Linked DNA regions of Macaca fascicularis. The protein of the gene in region 1 purifies or fractionates together with the protein of each later gene. This does not show direct contact. Links are inferred from orthologs where the notes say so. Each region holds a gene or a part of one and is shown in the gene's direction. Other genes may lie near its edges.

Region 1 (8,611 bases):
TCTTTAAAGACCACGTGAAAACCCAGCAGAGGCTGAAATGGGAGGAAAGTGCCGAAACACAACTGGAGCCATGAGTCCATTCTTGGAGAGGTCTGAGAGACACCTGTCCCAGGATGAAATCCTGTCCCAAACATCCCTTCCCCTCCCCCTACCCTCACCCCCAACCTCAGACCCAAGACCCACCCAGGGAGCCCTGGGCTGAGCTGACCCCAGCAACTGGAGATGTGACTCACTAGGGGGCACTCTTCCATCACACCAGCCCTGCCCCAGAAGGCACAAACCCTGCCCTAGGCCCTTTCCTGCAAACTCAGGGGCCTCTTCATGTTCCCTGCTGCCTCTTGCCAAGAGCAGAGGATCTTTCCAGGCAGCAATGGCACATCCACAATATCAGTATTCACTCAGTATAAGGTAGCTTTGCAGAAAAGGCAGGTGTCTGGGGTTACACTGATATTTCAAAATGGTCTTTCTTTATTCACCCGCCAGAATGTGCCCATTCTTAGATCCTCACCCCATTCCTTCCCAGTCTGATGGCTACCCACACAAAAATAAACTCAAGTGTGCGCTCCTGCATTTCATCCAAGTATTTGCCAATATCCAGACAAGTCTTCCATGCAGGACTGGAAATTGTGAAGGCCCTGGGCAGTTACACACCCTAGAAAAAGGGGAGGAAATGGGAGCATGGTTCAGAGCTCCCTGCCCATTGTGTAACCTCACCATTCATAGGAATCCTCTTAGCCCTGGGCCGGCAGGGGCACCAGAAGGAAGAAAAGGGCCACAGAGGAAGGCCAGGGGCTCAAGGAATGTGTGCAGTTTGGAGAGGCAGGGCTTCTTCTTCCTTTGTTTTTGTTTTTGTTTTGTTTTGTTTTGTTTGAAACGGAGTCTTGCCTGTCACCCAGGCTGGAGTGCAATGGCGCTATCTGAACTCACTGCAACCTCTGCCTCCTGGGTTCAAGCTATTCTCCTGCCTCAGCCTCCCGAGCTGGGATTACAGGCATCCACCACCATGCCTGGCTAATTCTTGTATTTTTAGTAGAAACAGGGTTTTGCCATGTCAGCCAGGCTGATTTCGAACTCCTGACCTCAGGTGAGCCATCCGCCTTGGCCTCCCAAAGTGCTGGAGTTACGTGCCTGGCCGCTTCTTCATTTTTTAGGACAACATTCTCTTACCTAAACCATTGTGGGGCCTAATTTCGTAAATGCTCCAACTTCAGAGGATTTAACCCCTAAAGACACAGACCCTGTGAGGCCCTTTGTGCTTAATGGAGATTCCAGACCTGAAGCGTGAGAGTGAAAGGGAGAGGGGGCAGCAGTGGAAGGAGAAGATTTGGGGGAGAAAACCTAGAGGGAGTGATGAAGGGAGGGGTGGAGAAGGGAGTGAAGGGGGGACAGGGGTTTGCAGGAGGACAAAGAGAAGAAAGTCCCCCACTTGGGTCTTCTGCTCTTGGAACTGGAGCACTAGAACTTCCATCCTAATGTTCAGATTCTTCCTATGAATTTGCTTCGTGCTCCAGTAGGCTTCTTGTTCCCATAACCTGTCAGAGGGAGTGTCCAGAGGAAGCTGGAAAAGTGAATTTCATAACTAACAGTCATCCTTTGATCTTGCCACCTGCACCCTGGAGCTCTCCTCCACTAAGCAAGCATTTGGGAAGTAAGGGGAACATTTCCTTCCCAGCTGTATGAGAGGAGGCTACTAGGGTCCCACCAAGAGCTCACTTTCATGTTCTGGTTGGGTGCAGTGAGATGCAGCTGCAGGGCCAGACTGAGGACATAAACCAGGCCCAGACCCAGACCCGGGCTAGGGAGAGGCGATGGTGTGGGTGCCTGAATCCCTTGCTAAGCCATGTACACACCTATGATACAGCCACACCCCAAGGAGCTACACTTCCCAGAGCAAAGGCCTCCAGCCTGGCTTACTCTGAGAATTAGGTCACCTCCGCATCTTTCCTGGGTAGGATTCCTGACCCAGTCAGCCACATTGTCATCTGGGAAGAATCATAACCTGCAGGAGGAAGAGAGGAGGTAAAGGAGAAAGGGACAAAGTAGACTGAGACAAAAGTGGAAGAAGAAAGCACTGGCTCACTAAGAAGCCTCTCTCCCCTCTGCTGTAAGCGAAGATAGATTCGTAGGCAAGCAGCCTGGCCCGCCCAGCGTCCCCTGTGCATACCTGCCTCTGGCACATCTCAACGGTGGTCACCTTCTCAACCAACCACCCTGCAGAGCTGGGATGGCCACCAGCTTAGGCAGGTTCCACGGAGCCTCCCAGCAGCCCGTGCCTGAGAGATCGTGCCCTCCGTTCTTTCTGCAGAGAGAAAGGGAAAGGAAAAATAAAAGTACATGCACATTTCTCATTTAGGTTTTGGGATCCCTCTCCCGCTTCTGTCCCTTTGGGGACAGAAATTAGCAATCATGGGTGCCTGTGTGCCTCCGCAGCAGGCTTGTCGGCTCCAAGGTACCTCCTCCACTCTAGCTGCCTTGAACTGACGCCCTTCTGCAACCATCTCAAGAATATTTGTCAAACATTTTGTCAGGCATCCTCCCAAATGCCTGAAAGACAGGACTGTACCATGCCGTGTTTCCCCCGATTTTACAGCCCCAGAGTTCACATGTCCACAACCACTCCCCTGCCTCCACCAGTTATACTGTCCATAAGGTAAGGCCACTCAGATACCTCTTTCCTTTCACTTCTAAAAGTCCTACCTACAGCGGTATACTGATCACAGCTTCTCTTTGTAAGGGGATCCTTGGAAAGCCAAATATCCCTTAGCTTGGCACAAATGATCCATTTGCTCAATCATCTCAGATTCAATCACTATTTGAAACACAGTGTTTGGCTTCTAAGTAAAACACACACACACACACACACACTTTTTGTGAGTTTCGTTAAAAATTAACAATGTCCCTGGCAATTAAGCTTGCAGAGTTTCCTTGTCCTTGGTTGCCTCCAGTGAATTTGGGACTTGCAAACTCCATATTGAGGGGAGGACCTAGCCAGGGGTAGAAATCAGCCCTGACTATCCTGGTGGACAGGGCCCGACTGCCCCCACCTCACCCCAACTGACTTGTAGAGAGGCCTTGTGTGGCGGGGACGGGGAGAGTGTGTCAGAGCAGGCTTTCTGAAGAAGGAGTTTCCACCTAGCAGAGGAAGTGTCCTGGGGGCAGAGGAGAGGATTCCACGCAGGAGCCACCGAAGTGGGTACAAGGGAAACCCCCTGGCTGGCAGGGGTGTATGGGGAGGTAAAAAAGAGACTAAAACAAGGACAGGGCAGGTGAATAGAGGAGGGCTCCCAGCGTCTGCCCTGTTCATCTAGGGAGCCTGGATTCTGATAGCCAGGGAGGGGTTCTGAGAATAAGAAACCAAGCAGCCCCGTGGCTGATTACCTGGTTCTCGCTGTGTGTGACTCTGGACACGCTGCTTAAGCTCTCTGAGCCCTGGTGTCCTCATTTATAACACAGGAATGATAACAGAACGCCGTTGAAGGGTGGCTTGGCAGGGCTGAATCGGATGGCTGGGCGAAAAGCCAACGGTGGCACACCTTGCGCTCTGAGTAAAGGGGCGCCTATTATCACCTTGGGGAAGAATTGGACAGAGCGCCTGACGACGGGTGATTAAGTTGGGTAGGTGGGTCAAATTGACCGGATTTTCCAACCCAGATTCACACTTCCTGTGGAGACAGGTCGTAAAAGAGCTGGCAAAGGTGTTTGTAAACACAACTGCAATTCAAAAGTTGCCGCTGGGGGTGAAAGCAGCGGGAGTTAGGGGAAAGAGGCTGGGTGGCTAGAAGCATTCACTTCGCCCGGGGCACTCTCCCAGCCCAGAGGATATGGATGTCTTTGCAGTCCCTCCTCCTTTTCCCCCCTCCCCCGGTACACACACACACACACACACACACACACACACACACAGCCGGAGCCCCCTCCCGCAGCAACCTCGGGACACGCGTGGTACAGCCCTTGCTGTCGTCCCGTCGATAGGTTTAGGGATGAAGGGTGAGAGCGGGTCGGCGACTGGGAGTAGAGACGATAATAAGCCGAGTTGGATTAAATTGTCTCCAGCAGCTCCCAAGGCAAAACGGGGGGGCAGGGGCGGACACAGCGCGGCCTGGAGGGCGCTGGGCGAGGAGGAACGGAGCTCGGGGGCCGGCCCGGCGCTCAGCCAGCAGCGCCGCCTCCCCGGAGGAAGGCGGGGGCCGGGAGGAGGGAGCGGGAGGAGGCGGAGGGCGGAGGAGGGCGGCGCGCTGAGAGGTTATTTGTGGTTCGCTTTGATCCCGAGGGGGAACCTGAAACTCTCACATTCCTGGCATAGCAGCCGCCTCCGGCGCGGGCCGACCCTGGGACTGCGCGCTGGGGCGCGAACAGCCAGAGCGTCGGCGCCACGGCCGAGAACACATCTCCGCCGCCGAGCTGAGCCGCGCAGACCAGGAGGTTGTGGTGTCTGACTGCGCCGGGCACCCTCGGGCCGCAGCGGTAAGGAAGGCTGCTCCGCGCTCGGGAGAGCGCGCGAGGCCACAGAAACGTGCCCCAGCCAAAGCTGTAGTCTCCGCGCAGCCCGGCCTTTTCCGGGAGTCGGAGCCCCGAGGATCGAGCGTCCTCGGGGCGCAGTGCGCCCTTTCGAGGCAGCCGCAGTGCTGGGCAAGAGCCGTTCCACGCGGGGAGCCCAGCGCCCTGGGCTTTGCGGGGCTCTAGAAGCGCGCGGGTCCCTTGGGGCTGGGGGAGAGGGGAGCAGGCCGACTCCGGAGAGAAGAGCGACGGTGTTTCGGTTTGCGGGTCGGCTGGGGTGGGGGTGGCGGGGGACAGGGATGGAGGCGCCGCTTGGAGCTCAAGTTGCAGGGTCTTGCGGGCTGATTTGGTTAGGTGGGGGTTACAGGTGCCTTTGCCCCCAACCAGTCCAAGAATTCCTCTTTGTCTTCCTTGGAAAATCCTCTCTGGAGCCACGAATTGGCTCTCACTTAGAAAGAATGCAGCCTGCTGTCCAGCCCGGTGACGTCAGCGTTAGAGTATTTGGAAAACAAAGAGGGCTCGAGAAGGAGGGAGGCGGACCCGCGATGCTTAAAGACCTCTCCGGGCCTCGGGCTACCCTCACCGGCTCGCCCCAGGCGTACCAGCGACCTTCGGTGCTCCAGGTCCGCCCGGGCTCGTGGTGGGGCGGGAGCCCTGGCTGGGGTGCGAGAGTCTCCTAGCTTGGAGACTGTCACTTTGGTTCCTTAGGCGAGCGGGACCCCAGGCCAAGGCTGGAGACGCGCGCTGGCTTAGAAAGGCGGCCTTCTGAGAGCGCAGCAGAGGGGCGCGGCCGGGGGCGAGGAAGCAGGTTTTAGTAAAGGCTCAGGCGTTTGGTGTCTGAAAGGACGTGAATCTGAGGGGCTTGGCCGGGACAAATTCGCGATGAGAGGCCTTGGAGGTGTTCCTTGCTCCCAGTCCGGGCACACTGTGGAGCGCCTGGAATCTGTCGGGAAGGCTCCGCATTCCTTCCTGCCGCTCCCCTGCCTCTGTGGGAGTCGGCCCAGAGAGTGATTATCTTAGGAAATGCCCGCAGATAAAACTCCAGGGCGAACTGAATCCCATGCGAATTGAATCCCATTTGCTTGCTTTGCCTCGGGTAGCTCCGGAGTCTTGCACATCTACCCCTCGTTGTGTGCGGGGGCGGGGGGGAGTGCATGACTCGGTGCCAGGAAGGATGGGTACAGAGGTGCCCTCCAGACTCATCCCCCACTCCCCACCTCTGGGCAGCTGTAGCCCTGGGGTGGGGAGAAGGGAACGATTGGGAATGACTGCTCTGCTAACATGCCATAGCCCAAACTGAAGCAGGACACTAGGGCTAGTTTAGTGGCAGAGGAGGGGCCACATTCCTCCCACCCATCCCCCAATCGCTGCCCACACACACAGGACCTGTGGCAGTGTGGATTCTGTTTAGTTTTCCCTGGAACCCAGTTTGGAGATTTGTGTTGGAAGAGGCTGTGGAAAGGAAGCTGGGTGAGAGAGGCAGGCAGCTTTCCAGTCCATGAGCCACTGGGAGCCCAGACTTAGAAGGGAAATCCTTTCTCTGATATTATCTCCGAGCACTTTAGGCTCACAGTCCCCTCTCCTCTGCCCCAGGTCTCTCATCCAACAACCTCCCCTTACTTCTCCGGTTAGCCCAAGTCAAGATGGGCTTCCTTGACACTGATGTCAAGAAAGATGCTGAGTGCCTGTCCCCTATGTGCCTAGAGGACCAGTGGGGGCTTTTCCAAGTAGCAAGTGTGTGTGTGTGTGTGTGTGTTGGGGAGGATAATCATAAAATCAAAGACATCATGCCATCCTTTCTTTTTCCTGGAGCTCTCTTGCAGTTACTGTCAGCACAAAGCCTGACCCACTAACCTTAATGGGTGGCACCCTTTTGCCTCATCTCACAATACCATTGTCCTCTTGGAGCATTTTTATTCATCCCTTATTCACCAATTCAGGTGCAATTCCTCCTTCCTCCTGTTAACCTTGTGGAGTGACTGCCAAGGTCGTCCCATGACAGGGAGCCCCAGATTCATTCTGTCAGCAGCGCTTGATGAAGCAGAGTCCAGGCCCATCCTCCAGGAGCTCTCTGGTTCAGGGAGAGTGAAAAAAGTGGGCAGGGGTTCAGCGGGCTAGAGGGTGGTAGGTTGATTGTGCCAAGGCTGGGCTCTGGCATGCCTCAGTGTAGAGTGTCCTGGGGGCCTTTTGCCTAGGGCTTTTCTACTGGACTGCATGCATTTTTTATCACCTGCCAATAAATTGGGGCCCCATCCACCCCTAGACTGAATAGCTAAGTGGTTAGATCTGAACTAGGCCGGCCTTGGAATTGCCCATCAGGCTGTTTGATGTGTAGCTGGCTGTACGGGCGGTGGTTCCTGGTGCGTTATCTTCTGGTTTCCTGTTGTCTCTCTCCAGGAATAGTAAGTCACCATGAATGTTATCACAGTCATTGTTTACCAGGATTTTCACTGTACCAGGAGCTCACAGGCCACTGCCTCTTTTTATTCTCATCTCCATGAGTCAAGCAGAATTCTTTGCATTTTTCTGGTGGAGAAACTGAGGCTCAGAAGTTAGATAACTTGTCTTAATCAGTAGATAGCAGCACTGGTACTTGAATCCAAGCTTATGTGACCTGCCCCACCCCTGCTCTTCACTTTTGTGCTTTCCACCAGAGTAATAATGGAAATCCTGGAAAACCTTCTCCTTTCCCATGGACTCCCACTGATTGCTTTTCTCTCTCTCTGTCTCTCTCTCTCCCCACCCTCCTCTAGGTGCTCTGGGGCCAGGTGCCACCGGCCATTGTCCAGGCAGCTGTGTGCAAGCCAGAGAAGCATGAGGACACTGGAAGACTCCTCGGGGACAGTCCTGCACCGCCTCATCCAGGAGCAGCTGCGCTATGGCAACCTGACTGAGACACGCACGCTGCTAGCCATCCAGCAGCAGGCCCTGAGGGGTGGGGCAGGAACTGGGGGCACAGGGAGCCCCCAGGCCTCCCTGGAGATCCTGGCACCAGAGGACAGTCAGGTGCTGCAGCAAGCCACCAGGCAGGAGCCCCAGGGCCAGGAGCACCAGGGCGGTGAGAACCACCTGGCAGAGAACACCCTCTACCGGCTGTGCCCACAGCCCAGCAAGGGAGAGGAGCTGCCCACCTATGAGGAGGCCAAAGCCCACTCGCAGTACTATGCGGCCCAGCAGGTGGGGCCCCGGCCACATGCAGGGGACCGAGATCCCCGTGGGGCCCCCGGAGGCAGTCGGAGGCAGGATGAGGCCCTGCGGGAGCTGAGGCACGGGCACGTGCGCTCCCTGAGTGAACGGCTCCTGCAGTTGTCCCTGGAGAGGAACGGCGCCCGGGCCCCCAGCCACATGAGCTCCTCCCACAGCTTCCCACAGCTGGCCCGCAGCCAGCAGGGCCCCCCACTGAGGGGCCCCCCTGCTGAGGGCCCAGAGTCCCGAGGACCCCCACCTCAGTACCCTCACGTTGTACTAGCTCATGAGACCACCACTGCTGTCACTGACCCTCGGTACCGTGCCCGCGGCAGCCCGCACTTCCAGCACGCTGAAGTCAGGTAACTCTCCCCACCTTGGGCTTTCCAGTTCCTGGCTTATCCTCCAGCACAGGCTGTCAGGGAGGAGAGCCTCAAGATCACAGCTTGTGTCAGAGCTGGCCAGATCCCCACCCCACCTCCAGGCTTCCTGAGAAGGGAGAGCTATTGCCTGGCAGAGAAGAGAGATGTAACTGAGGTCCCCTAAGAAGTTAGTGGCGTCCCTTGCCTTAGTTCAGAGATAGGCACCATTGTCTGCTGAGCTTGAGCATTCTAGTAACTACCGTCCCCAGAGGACACAAATCGCAACAGGCGGTTAAAGGTTAGATTTCAGAAATAACTTCCTAAAGGCAAGGTTGGGAATCATTGCCAAACTGTTTCCAAGTTAAGTAGGAAGAAGGTGGGACCTCCTTCTCTGGAGGCTTTTTAAGAAAATGTGAGCAACTTGCCTTCTATGATTATTGGGAGGCATTCCTAACTAGAAGCTGGAAAGGCCCGGTGGCCTCATTACAGACGTCTCTGCATCTTACACCAGCGCAGGAGCTTCCCTGTCTCTCCTCCCCATTTCCTGCCGTACGCTTCCTGCATCT
Region 2 (7,944 bases), on another chromosome or scaffold:
GTGTAATGGAGAAGGGGGCACATTCCTGAATTAAGTCATGCAGAAAGCAGGACCTGGAGATGCTACTGGTTTCCTACTCCTCGCAGGCTCTCCTGGGCAAGCAGAAGTTACCAGGATTAGACTGCTGCTGGCCCTGGCTTTTTTACCCATTGTTACCAGCCTGATAGCTTCTGGCTTTATGCCTTTCAGTTTATGAATAAAAACTTTATGAATAAAAATTACTGTTATCTTCTTATACTTAAAAATAACCAATTTGTGTCTTTTGGAGAGTATTGGGGCTTGTGTTCTTTAGGAAATTTTTAAAAGTCTTTTTGAGAAACACCATAGTCTGACATGAATTAATCATTAATATTATCTAAGGAATAGAGAGTGCCTGGTCCCCAGGGTGAAAGAATGTCCGTTTTGTCCTCAGGATTCTCTGGGGCTTCTGAAGCATGGCAAAGCAAGCTGGGCTCCTGGCAATTTTAATGTGGCTTGGAAATGAATATTGCCTAAGGGAACTGCCCTCCGCATGGGTTCATATATTCACACAGAGATACACTTGCTTACTGACCTGCCTACCTAGCCATGAAAAGCAGGTAGGGAGTAGCACTGTATGCTTTTGTCAGTAACTCCTAAAAGACACCTGAACTTCAAAGTAAGTCAATGTCTAATTCTTACTCCAAATGATGCCCCCTCAGTTGCCTACCTGAACATGATAAATAATGAAGGCTTTCTATTTTTTTTTTTTTTTTTTTTTTTACCAGTTTGACTCAAAGCTTAAGTGTTCAAATTGTGTTCACATATGTACACAGTAATCTAAATCATCACGTTAGAATCCCTGCTGGTTGTAAGTTCAATGGTAATTCCCAATAATCATGAGCATCTAAGTGCCACTGGGGGCCATTGTCAGTGAGGGTATCATAGACCAGATTTTGAATCTCCTTGGCATTGCCATCTAGAATTTGGGCAGGAGCATGGAGAGTTATGTGTCAAAGACAGCAAAACTTTTTGTATATTTTTCATGATTCTTAGCAAAGTGAATTTTAATCATAGCTGAGTGGGGGCACCAGGAGCCATGGAACTTGCTGCTCAAGGGAAATACATTATGACACATGTTTTTTTTTTTTTTTTTTTTTTTTGAGACGGAGTCTCGCTCTGTCACCCAGGCTGGAGTGCAGTGGCACTATCTCGGCTCACTGCAAACTCCGCCTCCCGGGTTTACGCCATTCTCCTGCCTCAGCCTCCCGAGTAGCTGGGATTACAGGCGCCCGCCACCTCGCCCGGCTAATTTTTTGTATTTTTAGTAGAGACGGGGTTTCATTGTGTTAGCCAGGATGGTCTCGATCTCCTGACCTCGTGATCCGCCCGTCTCGGCCTCCCAAAGTGCTGGGATTACAGGCTTGAGCCACCGCGCCCGGCCCATTACGACACATGTTAATGGAGCCTTGTAGCCTGTCACATGGCATGTTTGTGTCTTGAAATTCACTCTGGAGAGCAGACGGTTCAAGCTTTACAGGGGTGAATGGAATTGTTAGAAGATTAAAGGCAGCGGTTTACAGACTGTGCTTCAAGTATTTTGTGGGGCATCTCTGGAGGTTCCTTGAAACAAAGGGTTGCCATGATGGACACATTTTGCTTCTGTTGCTCAGTTAATGTTTAGATGATTTCATAATGATCTAGTTCATCATCTCTAAGCTGTATTCTTTTTTTTTTTTAAGACAGAGTTTTGCTCTTGTTGCCCAGGCTAGAGTGCAATGGCGCAATCTCGGCTCACTGCAACCTCCACCTTCCGGGTTCAAGAGATTCTCCTGCCTCAGCCTCCTGAGTAGCTGGAATTACAGGCTTCCACCACCACACCTGGCTAATTCTTTTGTATTTTTAGTAGAGGTGGGGTTTCACCGTATTGGCCAGGCTGGTCTTGAACTTCTGACCTTAAGTGATCCACCCGCTTCGGTCTCCCAGAGTGCTGGGATTATAGGTGTGAGCTACCGGCCCGGCCCTCTAAGCCGTATTCTAACCTGGACCTAAATATTGGCAGTAGGCAGCAAGAAAAAAGAATAAAGGAAGATTCCACTACTTCAGATAATTAAAAAACCTTCCACTTACTATAAGGACAGTGCCCAAGACTACTGAGTGATAAATTTCTAGTTTTTAACTATTCTGTGGCCCTGAGAACATTTATGCCTTAATCCTAGCTCTGCTCACTTCTTGGGGCTATTGATTAATTTGTTTCAGAAACACCATGGGAAGTGAATATTACCTCTTTATGACTTTGTGAATGCTTCAAACTGTAGAATCACAACTTTCAGGAAATGTGATAAATTTAGTGGGAAAAGAATTTAATGCACACCTTGCAAAAGCTTCTTTGAGGGTAGCACAGGAGGAAGAAGTGCCAATATAGTGTGTTTGTCTTTTGCTCTGCAATTCTGCAGGTACTGGATCATGATGTTTCAAAGGAAGAACCAGTCACCTTTCACTTCCTGGCCAAATTTTATCCTGAGAATGCTGAAGAGGAGCTGGTTCAGGAGATCACACAACATTTATTCTTCTTGCAGGTACATCAGTCCAGGCTACCCCCCAGTTCTGAGAGAACTTGCCCAGGAATGGTTGCAGAGTTGGCCTCAGAGTTGACCACAAACACCTTTGTATTGCAAAAATATTCTACCTCTGGAAAGTCAGCTCCTTTGGTTCTGTAATGGAAAAAAGTCTTCAGAACAGAACTATACTTGAGTGATGAAAATTGGTGTCAGATGAAATTGTGAAGGTGTGATGGTGAAGAATGGATACAAGTAGCTACCTAACTTAAAATCTCCTTGAAAATGGATCCTGTTTTCTTCTAGCTAACTTAAAAGTACTCAATCGTTTCAAAGGAAGGCTAAAGAGAGAGTCGTATAAAGCAGTAGTTCTTCCGAAAGTTTAAAATCCGCTCTCATTAAGAGAGAACTTCAGCCGGGCATGGTGGCTCATGCCTGTAATCCCAGCACTTTGGGAAGCTGAGGTGGGCGGATCACGAGGTCAGGAGTTCGAGACCAGCCTGACCAACATAGTGAAACCCCATCTCTACTAAAAATACAAAAATTAGCCAGGCGTGATGGCCCATGCCTGTAATCCCAGCTACTCAGGAGGCTGAGGCAGGAGAATCACTTGAACCCAGGAGGCATAGGTTGCAGTGAACCAAAATTGAGCCACTTCACTCCAGCCTGGGTGACAGAGTGAGACTCTGTCTAAAAAAAAAAAGAGAAAACTTCAGAGTTCTAGTGACACTCAGTTTGTCCCCCATATGTGGTACTTCAGACATCATGCTTCATGCTATGCTGTGTCCTTAATTGTCCTGTTTCTTCCTTACTTCCTCATTAGATTGTAAGCCCCTTAAAGGCAAGGCTCATTAAGTGCACAGTAGGCATTCCATAAGTAATTGTCCAACCGAATTGAAGAAATTAGGAAATTCATAATTACAAGTTGACCATTCAGAGGCACAGGGAGGGGAACTGGTCTGAGGATGAAAACCTTATCAGTTTCACTTATGTTCTTACTGCAGGTCAGAGTGGTCCCCCAGTTTCATGGCCAGTTTCAGTGATTGGCACGGGGGCTATTTGTGTGCTCAAAGGTTTCAGTAATGTAAAAGATGGCAGTAGGGGCGTTAATTACGTGATTTCCCAGAGATAGATGGGTAGTCTGTCACATAGCCCTCCTGTAATTAATTTCAGCCTCAGTATATTGTGTTTAGCAAATATTAAGTTAAATATAATAAGACCCCCTAAATTCTTTTTTAAAAAGGTCTGGGGTGTGTGTGTGTGTGTGCGTGCGCACGCAAAAGAGGTGACAAATTTATTTCAGATGTTTTCAAATCAAAGGGACATTCTTAGGCTGGGCGTGGTGGCTCACGCCTGTAATCCCAACACTTTGGGAAGCCAAGGCGGGCAGATATCTGAGGTCAGGAGTTTGAGACCACCCTGACCAACTTGGAGAAACCCCGTCCTTACTAAAAATACAAAATTAGCCGGGCACGGTGGCACACGCCTGTAATCCCAGCTACTCGGGAGATTGAGGCAGGAGAATTGCTTGAACTCAGGAGGTGGAGGTTGCAGTGAGCTGAGATCGCACCATTGCACTCCAGCCTGGGCAACAAGGGCGAAACTCCTTCTCAAAAAAAAAAAAGGGACACTCTTTCAGTTTTTCTATAGTGTTGCTTTTTTCCCCCTCTCTTTGGAAATGAAACCAAGGGATTAGAAAGTTTCACTGCTTCAGAAACATCTCAGGTTTCATTTTCTCTCTTAAGAATGTAAAATCGCTTTTAAAACCTGAGAAGAATTTTTGTGTTTGAACGAAAGCACATAACCATCTCCTAGGTCCCAGAATGTCCTAATGTTGTAGAAATGGCTTTCTTGTAAGCACTTGGAAGCACTGCCTGTCTCTTGTGTGACTTTGGCTTGATTTTCCCTATACTGAAATGTTAAGGCATTTTTATGACTGAGCAAGGCAAAATTTACTGCTTTTATGAATCCGGTGACTGTTGATATCTGTGAGAGGAGAGCTGGCTTTCCTGTTGTGTTTATTTCAATGTCCCCCCTACCACGTCATGCCGTTGTCTTGCTTCTGTGTCTGGAACATGCCAAGTTGCACCATTCTAAGAAAATCAAGTGCAATGAAATATGTTAATTCAACATTATGGCTTAAGAATTATATTTCCTGGACCTCACGTGTACTTAAAAGTTGAATCGATCAAATTTTATTGCTTCCTTTTCCCTTAGAGCAGCATGTTGAGAGTGATGGTTTTTTTCTGCAGTCATAACTCAGTGGCCTTGGTGACTTTTGTCTTGTGTTAATACTTAAAAGTAGATCCATTTCCTCTGGGACCGTGTGTATTCAAAGGGACTGAGGCTGCAGTCACCCCCAGAGCTGCTCTTGACACTTCTTGGGTTCATGGTGCTCTGTCACACAGCCTCTATTGTAACTACAGAGACCATTTTTACTCTTCAGCATTGATCATGAAGAGAAGAGGTAAGGGGGTTTTTATGCGTAGCCGTCATACCAGTAACTTCTGTGACTGAACTCTCCACCTGTCTGCATCAGTAAAAAAATATTGTATCCTTTGTCAGAAAATTATTAACAGGCTCCTCTGGCAGCCCTCATTAGAATGCCGTGCAGCCATCTGTTGTGATCAGCCTATACACCTCACTTCCACGCACACAGTATCATGTCCCCCTTGTTGCTCCTTTCAGGTAAAGAAGCAGATTTTAGATGAAAAGATCTACTGCCCTCCCGAGGCTTCTGTGCTCCTGGCTTCTTACGCCGTCCAGGCCAAGGTAGGCTCAAAGAAGGAAAATGTATTCTTCCTGGGGGTTAATTTGGGTTATGGGATCACTCCTATCTTGTCTTTCTTTGGGTTTTCTGTACTTCAGAGAGACTTGCCCCAGAAAGTGAGATGTTATGGGACTTGTGGACTTGGGAGAACCACTGTCGCTGTTCCAGTGTTTGTATGATCGTGTGTGTGTGTGATGTGCACAAATTATAAGTATCATTCTAATGAATTAGAATTCATTCTAAGTGAATTCATTCAGCAAGATGAATTTTCTGTGTAATCTCATTATGTACATGTGGTTTATGACATTTACTGGACAAACCTTTTTTCTTTTTACCATAAACTCAACCATGTGGTACAACCTTTCTATTAGCCAGGAAAAATGAATTTGTGGTCTCCAGTTTTAGCCAAACATGGCCTTTAAGTCAGAAAGGCCCAGGTCCTCACTCCGAACTCATTTGTGAACCGGCTGCCCTGTGTGACACTACACTACACCCTCAAGAGAATGCCCTGCTTCATCTGCCCCTGATTGACATGCTAGCTGTTCATGTGGCTGAGCACTGCAGGTGCTGTGGCCCACCAGGCCCAATTGAGCTGTCTGGTTAGCTGAAAATCGTTGACTTCCATTAAACCACTGTAGACCTTTTTTTTCCCCCTCCCCCCCCCAGACGGAGTCTCACTCTGTCACCCTGGCTGGAGTGCAGTGGCGCAATCTCAGCTCACTGCAAGCTCCGCCTCCTGGGTTCCCACCATTCCCCTGCCTCAGCCTCCCAAGAAGCTGGGACTACAGGTGCCCACCACCACACCCAGCTCATTTTTTGTATTTTTCATAGAGACGGGGTTTCACCGTGTTAGCCAGGATGGTCTCGATCTCCTGACCTCATGATCTGCCCACCTCGGCCTCCCAAAGTGCTGGGATTACAGGCGTGAGCCACCGCGCCCGGCCTAGACATTTTTTTTTTTTTTTTTTTTAACAAGACCAATGAGAGAGTCAGCCAGGGTGTTTCATGTCCCTCAGATTTTTCACTTCAGTCATATATCACCTTCTCTTGGTTTCCCTGCTCCCTGCCTTTCACCAGAGCACAAGATGTTGTCCCCAGAATTGGGACTCCTTGATTATTTGTGTGATTTTATTTTATTTATGTTTTATTTTTATTTTTATAGAGATGAGGTCTCACTATGTTGCCCAGGCTGGTCTCAAACTCCTGAGCTCAAGTGATCCTTCTACCTTGGCCTCCCAAAGTGCTGGGATTACAGGTGTGAGTCACCACGCCTAGCCTTACTTGTGTGATTTTAAAACATAATCTTTTCACTTATTTTTCTTTTTAATTATAGGTGTTCATGAAGTCATTTCCCTATACGGTTAGAAAAATTAATAAAATACTCTTAGCTCACTTTTTGGGGTAGATTAATGCAATTTCAGATGAAAGCCAGGAAGTAACTGTCATTTGTAGGGGGGAAAAGGCTATATGTGCTGGTCAGACCAACAGAAGCACTAAAGTCAATTTAATCATTTGGTGGCTCATGTAATGTTTGCTGAGTATTCACCAGGCCCGGGGTGGGGAGGGAGCATGGGAGTAGTTGACCGTCTCATAGGCAGGCACTAAAGCAAGTATCTGCCGTCAGTGATTTGCCCAAGGTCATTCAGACAATCTTGGGCAAAGCTAAGGGCAGAAGGGCGGAATTCATGGCTTTGGGATTGCATTTTGTGCCTCCCATATTCTACTTCCCTGAAAAATGAGTAATTGAGAAAACAGAAAATGGGCCCTCATTCAACTAAAACATATGCTTCCTTTTATGCTTTGATCAAGAATATTAGCAAGAGGAAAAATGTGTCCTTTCAATCAGTATCACCCCGACAGTGATGAAGCAGTTATTGGCACTTTGATTAAATCCGAGCACTTCCTAGCCTGGAGTTGAGTTCCTTTTCACACACTTTCTCCCCAGTGAGAGTAGACCCGGGCTCTCAAGGACACCACCTCTCTTTGAAGGGCTTCCATCTCAAAGGCTATATTTTCTTTCCATGGATTTTTGGGCCACAAATTCAAAGGCCACCTGTAGAAAAAAATCACTTTTCAGGGAACCAGCAGATGTTTGCTTAAACAGATTTCACTGTAGGAAAGCCCTGCTAATTTGGATCCTACTAATTTGGAGATGAAAGTGATTCACAGACAACATATGTGGCTCACATGGAGGAGGATGTTCTAGCTATTTTTTCCGGTGTAAATTTTAAGGATCTTACAAATAAAGGTAATCTATGGCTTAAAGTCTTCATTTGGGAAACTAAGGCTTACTATGACATGCTTCCAGTTTCTAGGACTGCTGATTAATAGTTAAAGGATATCTGATTATAATATTAATAAGATCTCACTTGCCCATAGTGTTTTCTAGTTTTACCAAAGCAATACAAATGAATATTTTGTGTGGCACTCAGTGTAGTCTTTCCGGAAGCCAAGGCTTGAGAGTATTATGCCTGTTTTGCAGATGAGGAATATAAGGCTCAGAAAGGAATTTGTGATTTGTCCAAACTCACAATACTTTTATGTTAAGCCTATTTTGATGAAATTTATAGCCCACTTCTCGATGGAGAGGATTTCAGGCCAAATGGAATGAGTGGAGCTGGGATGGGAACCCTGGTGTCCAGGCTGCCTAAGTTAGCA

Evidence for each region. The genes of interacting proteins can lie anywhere in the genome.
Region 2: the proteins of AMOTL2 (region 1) and NF2 purify together in Homo sapiens (affinity purification with mass spectrometry; 5 studies listed by BioGRID and IntAct, with this or other methods). This does not show direct contact. The link is inferred for Macaca fascicularis from reciprocal best matches to the Homo sapiens genes AMOTL2 and NF2.

Annotation. Positions count from the first base shown.
Region 1 is NC_088376.1:37,279,831-37,288,441, reverse strand, and holds the start of AMOTL2 (angiomotin-like protein 2), read left to right. Parts: upstream 1-4,358; 5' UTR 4,359-5,120; intron 5,121-7,250; 5' UTR 7,251-7,311; coding exon 7,312-8,045; intron 8,046-8,611. UniProt on the Homo sapiens protein: Regulates the translocation of phosphorylated SRC to peripheral cell-matrix adhesion sites. Required for proper architecture of actin filaments.
Region 2 is NC_088384.1:22,028,172-22,036,115, reverse strand, and holds part of NF2 (merlin), read left to right. Parts: intron 1-2,414; coding exon 2,415-2,537; intron 2,538-5,204; coding exon 5,205-5,288; intron 5,289-7,944. UniProt on the Homo sapiens protein: Probable regulator of the Hippo/SWH (Sav/Wts/Hpo) signaling pathway, a signaling pathway that plays a pivotal role in tumor suppression by restricting proliferation and promoting apoptosis.